2 linked regions of the Nothobranchius furzeri genome follow. The protein of the gene in region 1 purifies or fractionates together with the protein of each later gene. This does not show direct contact. Links are inferred from orthologs where the notes say so. Each region holds a gene or a part of one and is shown on either strand. Other genes may lie near its edges.

Region 1 (4,165 bases):
GCCAATTCTCTTCCAACTGAAACCTGATCCCAGGACAAAAAGCGACGTGATTGTTGATGCAGTCATCCCTTTAAACAGCTGATTGATGACTGAATGGATAAGAATGGAGCTAACATTGGGTGGATACGTGACATAAACCGAACACAAGAGGAATCATCAAAGAAATGAATTCTGAGAACCAAAGAAATGTGTTTATTTCAACTGCAAGTTTGCAAAAGAATGAAAGATATGTGACCTGAACAGAAGGTCAAATATCTGTCGACAGCTTTCAGAGTGTCGCAGGGGCTTTGCTTCCAAAACACTTTTGAAGCGATAGCTTAAAGAGCTATTGTCTGAGAATGCAGGCAGTAAGTGTCTACAACAGATTCAGATCTGTTTTGGAGAGGGACAATTGCCGGTACTTGCAGTGGAATAACTACTACTTTACTCACAAAGCTTACCAGACTTAAACCTCTTGTTCTTCATTTACATGCTGATGTATTGAAACTAAAAACACTTGGATTGATTTTAGATGGAAACCCACAAACTCCCAGTTTACCATAAAGGCCCAGGTGGTAGAGTGCATGAAAGCCTTTAACTCCCAAGATATTGAATCCCAATGACAAGGATCAGCATTAGTCTCTTTCTTTTAGGTGAAGCGGTCTCTTATGACCATTTTCAATAAATCTTGCATCGCATCTTTCCTCACTATCCCTACATGCTGGCATGGAAGACTCGGAATAAGTTCCGAAACAATTCCACTCACTAAAATTTGACCGATTTCTGAATTTACAGCATAATTATTCTCTCTCACCTGTTTACCAAACAATACTGTTGTTGGGTCTAAAACAAAAAAAGCCCCTAAAGTCTTGTCTAGAAGTACAAGAAGTACAGTAACTAATGTGACATTGTAGGTTTTCATATCAACCTATTTATTCCAACATCAATACCATTGTTTAGCACCTCTCAATATAATCTTGTAATGCTAATGTGATTTAAACTTGAATATCTTTATTAGTCAGTATGATTGACTAATCAAAGAACTCTAGGGGGAAGGACGTCCGTCACTCCTGAGGTCTTTAGAGCTGATGGATTCAGTGCAGGTCTTGGCCTCCCAGCTATCTTTAGTGGACCATAGTCTGTGAATGGAGTGTCTAACTTTATCTGGCCCTTCGTCATGTTAGCTGTGGGTATTTTTAGGGGCTAGCTTGCAGTGGTAGCAGCTGCAAAAGAATTTATTTTCCTCTCCACTCCCTCTTTTACTCTCTAGCCTTTGGACAATGACAGAATCAGCATTGATGTGAACGCCACACGGTAATCCCTGCAAGGTAATGTGTAATTGGATGGACACGATCAAGAAAAGACACCTGTGAGCCTGACCCAACAAAAAAAATCCCTTTGTGAAGTGAACTGCTAGTTCATTGAGCCAGAATCTGTAAGCAGGTCGAAAAGACAGAAGAACAGACGTAAGCGGTCTACGGACATCTGTCTTTAAGAAGCCCACCTACAACTAAAGCAACCTGGTTGGTTTATGGACATCAGTTTTGAAGCGATCAAATGCTAAAGATGAAGTCACTTTAAAAGAGCGGTAAGTTTCACCTGTAAATGTTCATTTTCTAGTTTGAAAATAGTTTTCTGAAAAGTATCAGAAGGCTTTGTTAGTTCCTTTAATTCAATTCAGTTTATTTATATAGCGCCAAATCACGACGAGTCGTCTCACGGCACTTCACACAGTAAACATTCCAATGGAGTTCAGTTCATGATGCCAATTAGTTAATTTCCTATGTGAAGAAATGTGGAAATAAAATGTTTCTTTCTTGTATAACTAAGCCCGGTAAATGTGTATACTCCCAGTTATCAGTATTAGAGTCTAATAATAAAAAAAGCAACTATTCATTCAGAAAAAAGGGACATTTTAAATGAACTATGGTTGTTACAGCAGAACATTAAACATGGAAAAATTAAAAACACCTGCAAAAAAAGGTTTCACTTCTATTATGTACGTATTTATGCATTAGGTTGGTGACTTAATGTGTGTTCATGATGTTTTTTTTTGTCTGAGCTGTGACACATGGTCTTCAGCATGAGGCTACTTTATAAATACACTCTCCAATGAGTTACAGCACCAGCTGTGAGACAACCATGACTGTTTTGAGTTTGCTGAAAAATATCTTTCCTAACGTCCCAATGTCAAGATAGCTTTAGCCTTCCTGCATTCCATATCAGTGGTTAGCTAAGTTGGGGTTGGGACTCTGTTGTAGATCCTGAAACAAAGTGTGGGGTCTTGAGATGATCATCATAAACTCAGTTAAAGAGACACTGTGTAGTTTTTACCATTAATTTCTGGAAACATCCATCAAATTTTTGTTGAAAATAATGAAACAATGCCCAGTTGTTGAAAAATATTGACGGCTTTGTAACACATAACCCAAAAAATGTTGGTCTAAAATACATGGGAGCAGGCCTACGTTTTTGGACGATGCCATATTAGACGCCATGTTTCCTTCATCAGGAGCCCATGAGGACAAAATTAATTTACTGATTTGTAACAAACGGTTACAAAATGTTCACCATTCTTAAACGTTGTTGCTTTACACATTTACCTCGTCACTTGTTGCGAGTGATGAAGGAGAGTCGGATGTGCTTGTTATTTTGCTGAAGTTTGCACTCCCCAGGGCTTTTTGACCCTAACGGGGATCCGTTGGTAAGGTCTTCCTCCAACAAAAAAAAATACTGCTTTACGATTTAGGTATCTACTGCCTCCTATCGCCATGAAAATATACACACTGTCACTTTAAATGCAAAAAAAAAACTAAATAAATAAGCTAATTATTTATTTAATTGCACTTAATACAATGAATTAAGAAAGAATTGATAAATTTCAGTGTTATTTAACCATGTTACTGTCAGTGTTTGCATACTCATGTCTCTAGATGGGGTTGTTTTGGGGGTCAGAAGCAAAATAGTTTGGCAATCTCTATTCTAGAAATCCTCGATAGTTTGTTGGACCTTTGGCATAATTCAGGTGATCCTCTGTTAAAACCCTTGAATTAACTTTTGATGGGTCCTTTGAATTTGACAAAGAGGTCAGTTCAGTTGTCAACACAAGTTTCTTCCAGATATGACTTCAAGCAAAGGTAAAGCTCTTCATCTCTTTCAAAGATAAAAAAAATCCTCATGTTTGTTTTACAACTAACTTTGTTATAATGTGTATCATAAAGGTCTAGACTAGTCATAGCTTCATTTTCTACTGATGGTGCAAAATACTGCTGCTACGCTTCTAACAGGAACAAGAAAGCTAGACCACAAAGAGCTCCTTCTGGTGTTGCTCAAGTGACTTCCTGTCCAATACAGTTTCAGTAGGTCTTAGGGTTCTTTAAGGGTGTGTCTCATTCTATGTCATAAGTGTTTGCCTTATGTAGTTCTACGCCTCATCTATAATCCTGCAGCCAAATAACAAAATAATCTTAGATATTCTAAAATAAAATAAAAAATGCGGTGATCTTTGGAGATGCTGCCCAAAATCTGCTTAGATTAAAGAAACAAACTCTTGGATTTCTTATATTTGTAAGAATAGATGAGTCTATGGCCTTCCAAAAGACAAAATATTTTCCCACTAAATATAAACTATGATGTGTTTCTTTTTGTGCCAGAGTCAAGACTACCCAAAAACTACAGCCAACATTACAAAAAACAAGAATCTAACTTTGAAAACAATACCAGTTCTGCATTCAGGAAGGCAAAAGTTGACATTCATCATGGATATTCTTGGCGGTGCTCCTCGTGTTTTGGGCTACCCACGTCCTGTGGTGGTGCAGTGTGGAACAGATGCAACATTGAGGTGCCAAATCGGTGGAGACCCTCGTCCGGATGTTATCTGGGAACGTAAAAATGTCCAAATTCTTTCTGAAGGACGACACAAGCTTGCAGAGGAGGGAAAAGCATACTTGCTAACCATTAAGGGAGTGACCCAGCAGGATGCTGGCCAATACATCTGCAAGGCAAGAAATATCATAGGTGAAACCTACGCAGCGGCCTCACTCAAAGTGGAGGGAGAGCTCCTTGTACAAGACGGAGACATGGTTCAGTCAAGGGTAACTGGTGAAAAGCAATCAGTGAAAGCAAACGAAAATGTTAGTGGATATCTAAATGGCTACAGCGCAGTGGTAAATGGTTCGAGTGGAGA
Region 2 (4,332 bases), on another chromosome or scaffold:
GGAGACAGAGGCGCACTCGCGTCGTGCCAACATGGTGACTCTGTATCTGGTTTAGAGGGCTTTCACACCATCTCACCGCTGCTCTCTTTTTTTTCTTTCGTGATTTCCAAACTAACCAGTTAGTGAGGTCTTTTATTGACGCCATGTTTGTTTTGGCTGTACCCACAAACCCAGCTCTCTCCATCTGGTCTGAATAGTCTAGTGTACCCCTTAATGGAATGCTCCAGAACTACATGCAGTGCAGTGCTGTGTAGTAGCAAGTATGTGAACAAAGACGCAGCCTGCTGCCTGCACCAACACGAGGTCAAACAGCAAGTATATCACAGCCCTTAGCATTAGCAACTCCACAACACAGCAGAACTCCTTCAAGCTTGTGTTTTTTGTGGAGATAAAGCATCAACGTTGCAGAGCTAACAGAGTCAGTGATAGAGTTGCTTTGCTGTTAGCAGATCAGAAGGGAGATGTTCAAATCCAAATCCTGCCACCTGAAGCTTCTTTCTCATGCTGATTTGTACTTCCTGAAACAGGCATACCCACCCCTACCTCCGAAAATGGCATTCCTGCTAGAGACCACTGCAAATGTATAGAGCTCCGGGAGTTGACGTCACTTCTCCCGGCATGCAACAGTTCCAATCAAAACGGCGCCATCTTGGCAGTCAGAAGCCAGCGGCTGGACTATTTGTTATTGTCAGAAAACTCAATCAAACAGGAAATATGGTAGATTCCTGTTGTGCCCCAGAATGCAGAACAGACGTGGACGACACAAGGAATGAGCCATCTACAGGATTCCCCAAGATCCGGAGCGCTGCAAACGTTGGATCATTGTAATAAAACGTGCTAGTGACCGGGCTAAAATGAAACTGTGGGATCCCGAGAGTAAAGGTTTTCGCTTATGCAGCGACCGCTTCATATCAGGTACTTAAACCAACGTTTCCTCAACTGTGTATGGTGTTTATTTTAAATGCTTTTATTACGATTCTTAGTGGGCTTCCTAAACTTATTTTGGCGTGGCTTTTTCTGTCTTATTACTCATAGCAACAAGTAAACGTCACGTAAAACGTTGCCTCGTGTTTCTGCGTGCTGCCGTTTACGTGTTTTATGATGACAGCAATTAACCGGCTAAGCTGTATTTAATTTTTAAGCAATGGTTGATCAATTGTCAGATCACACATAAAAAGCACTTTGGATTGCTATTATCTGTCTCACCGAGACAGATCTCAGACAGATCCTGAGACGCTCCTGCCTGACATATTTATTTTATTCACGGGAAAAAATCAGACTAGTGATTTCTCTTGGCGCTCAGTTTATACTTTCAAACAGCACAGCACTCTATTTAAACTACTTACATGTAAATCTATGTTATTTGTCCATCCATCCATTTTCATCCGCTTATCCGGAGTCAGGTTATGGAGGCAGTAGCCTAAGTCGAGCGGCCCAGACTTCTCTCTCCCCAGCCACTTGGGCCAGCTCCTCCGAAGAAATCCCAAGGCGTTCCCCGGCCAGGTCCGGTAAGAAGTCCGTTCTGACAGCTTCTGGCATTTTTAAAAAGTATCCCAGGGGCACGGTAAGGGTCGGAGATGTTTAGTCAATTTAATTTCTGACTATATAAAAAGATTTATTTGGTTTTAAAGTGTGAAGTAAACTCCAACGAAGTAAAATCCAAGCCGATCCCGTTCATTTTGTTTACATTTGTTGCCTGCCAACATGGCGTCTACTCTCTGAGAGTCACGTGACGTCCGGAGCTCTATTGATTAAATGGGTGAACCACATCTTTAAAGAGAACCATGGCTATGTGTCAGAGTAAGTTTTTTGGGTTTCATGCAACACACAACATCTAGAAAAGAATGAAGTGGGTCAGATGGTTCAGAGATCCAGAATCACATTATCACCAGTACTCCTGCACAGCTTGTGGCCATTAATTAGACAATTTTCTTTAAAGTCATGATTATTTGATATGTGACAACCCAAATAATTGACTGTGGTGTTAAAACTAAAAGGTAAAGTTCAGGGTTGAACAGTACCTGCAGATCTGTGATGGAGACGCTGTGGGACTCCACGGTGGGCCGGCGGGGCAGACGTGGAGAAGAATGGGGTGATGTGATAGGAGAGTATGGTAGTGATGGGTAAATATAGCGCCCGTTTAATCCAGGGGAGCTGCAGGGGGATGCTGCCGTCTGTGAGCGCTCCTGCAAAGAGAGCTTCCGGTCGGACAGGCTCAGCCTGCCCCTCTGCTCTTGGCTTTCCGGCAGCAGAGCCTCTGGCCGACCAAATGTATGGGACAGCAGGTCACAGGATGGAGTCCGGAAAGGTGCTGCAGGGGAGGAAGCAGGCTCGGGCGTCTCAGAGCTGTCCATTTCTTCTACCTGATGTAGTGCATAGAAATAATTTTTGTTACTTCATTTTAACATAAATAAATGTCAGTAGTTGAGTACAAACTTTTAATAAGGTGTTAAAGTTTGTGTTTTTATTCAGGCTAGCATTTGAAACTTCACTTTAGGTCAATATGAAGATTTATTACAAATTTTCCCAATTATGTATTTGAATCTTGCACTTTCTATAAATCAGATTATTTTTCATCTCACCTCTTCCTCTGCAGCCTGTCCAGGTGGCCGGCTTGGTTCATACTCCGTGACCACGATGAGGGACTCCATGGGGTCCGAGGACAGTGTAAGTGTTTAAAGGTGGCACAGGACAGCTGCACAGCAGATCAGGGAGAGGTTGGGAGGGCTGCACTGAGGGGGCATGGCTACCGCAAGACGCTGGGGGCTCAGCAGAAGGCCAAGCAGTTACGTGGCAAGGAAACATGGTGCCTGTCCAGGAAGACTGAGAATCGCTGCTCCATCAGAGCAAACCTTCGAAGGGGAGATGTGTCTAAGGCAAAGGGACAGAAAAATATGGGTTTGTTTAGAAAGTAAAAGACAGATTGTTACGTAAAAAATTGCAAATACACACTTCCCCGCTACTGCACAACTACACATAAGCATTTGAGAGGTGGTTAAACTGTCAGATTTTATGGGAATGTCTTTATTTTGCTCACAGCTGTGTCAACAGGTAGGAGTGTTAGCTGGAACCAATCTGCATTTCTTTAGCACATCTGAACTTCAAAGTCCCCATCACAGAAAAGTAAGACAAAAGCTGTTTCTCAGCTGACAACACATTTAAAGCAGCACAGCTCTATTTTCCACATTCAGAGTTCGTTTTTGATGTTGTTTATTTAGAGGACGGTACTGAAACCCACACTTCTCATGTGTCTTAGAAAGCATTTAACTATTAACCCCTAAAAGGGGTTGTGTATATTGTGTATCACAATAATAGGGGTTAGATTATGGAACAATTTAGAAGAGGAAATCAAAGTAAGTACAAATATAAATGTGTTAAAAATGAATTATAAAAAACATATTCTGAACAAGTATATAGTGGAAAATCGATGATTTAAGTGGGTGTCCTTTATTCTAAGGAAAAGTAAATTGTATCAATTGTAAAAAAAATGTGTTTTTTTTTGTTGTTTTTTTTCCCATATGGTTTGGTGTTTATTTTTTATTTTTTGGTGACTTGTACCATTTTGTTTGTTTTAATGTAGGTTTTGTGTTAGATTTAGTAAACAAGTAAAACTTACTTGTATAAAGGGGTAGGGACATATAAGTTCCCACTTCTGCCTACTCCTTTTCAAACAGAGAAGAAGGGATGATGATATGTATTTTTTCTGTTTGTGGTATTTTAAAAAAAATGATGTATGTTTTCTTTGTTTGAAATAAACTAAACTAAACTAGAAAAGAACATACAGGATCCAAGCACACTAGTAATCAGTTTTGTTATACTTTCAGTAAAACAAAAATATTAAACATGTTTTTTTTCATTAGGATAGAAACATAATGTCAGGCGTGCTGGTGAGTGAGACGGAGGTGAGGATCCACACACGGGTGAAGGAGGCAGGCAGGCAAACAGGAACATTAAAACAGGGATTTTAATCGGGAACACGCTGACATAGAAACAATGATCCAACACGAGACACAGAACTGAAGGGGTTTAAATACAAGAGGGCTGGGAGCTTGGGTGATTGGAAAACGAGAGGCAGGTGGGAGCAATTAGAGACACATGACTAAACAGAACGGGGAGACAGGACAGGGTGTGACAGTACCCTACACCCCCCCCCCCCCCTCAAAGGGCGGATCCCAGACACCCACAGGAACACAGAGCAGGGTGGGAGGAGGGGGACCAGGAAGGAGGGCCAAGAGGAACTGAGGGACCGGTGGAGAGGAGGCAGGAACCAGTAAAGTCCAGGGAGCTCCGTCTGGGGCAGAGGAGGAGACGACGACGAGCTCTTGGGGGCCT

What was found. The genes of interacting proteins can lie anywhere in the genome.
Region 2: the proteins of obsl1a (region 1) and calcium/calmodulin-dependent protein kinase kinase 2 purify together in Homo sapiens (affinity purification with mass spectrometry; 4 studies listed by BioGRID and IntAct, with this or other methods). This does not show direct contact. The link is inferred for Nothobranchius furzeri from reciprocal best matches to the Homo sapiens genes OBSL1 and CAMKK2.

Annotation. Positions count from the first base shown.
Region 1 is NC_091742.1:63,105,402-63,109,566, reverse strand, and holds the start of obsl1a (obscurin-like protein 1a), read left to right. Parts: upstream 1-1,333; 5' UTR 1,334-1,567; intron 1,568-3,632; 5' UTR 3,633-3,737; coding exon 3,738-4,165. UniProt on the Homo sapiens protein: Core component of the 3M complex, a complex required to regulate microtubule dynamics and genome integrity. It is unclear how the 3M complex regulates microtubules, it could act by controlling the level of a microtubule stabilizer.
Region 2 is NC_091746.1:48,735,376-48,739,707, reverse strand, and holds the start of calcium/calmodulin-dependent protein kinase kinase 2, read right to left. Parts: upstream 2,840-4,332; 5' UTR 2,652-2,839; coding exon 2,583-2,651; intron 2,364-2,582; coding exon 2,022-2,363; intron 1-2,021. UniProt on the Homo sapiens protein: Calcium/calmodulin-dependent protein kinase belonging to a proposed calcium-triggered signaling cascade involved in a number of cellular processes. Isoform 1, isoform 2 and isoform 3 phosphorylate CAMK1 and CAMK4. Isoform 3 phosphorylates CAMK1D.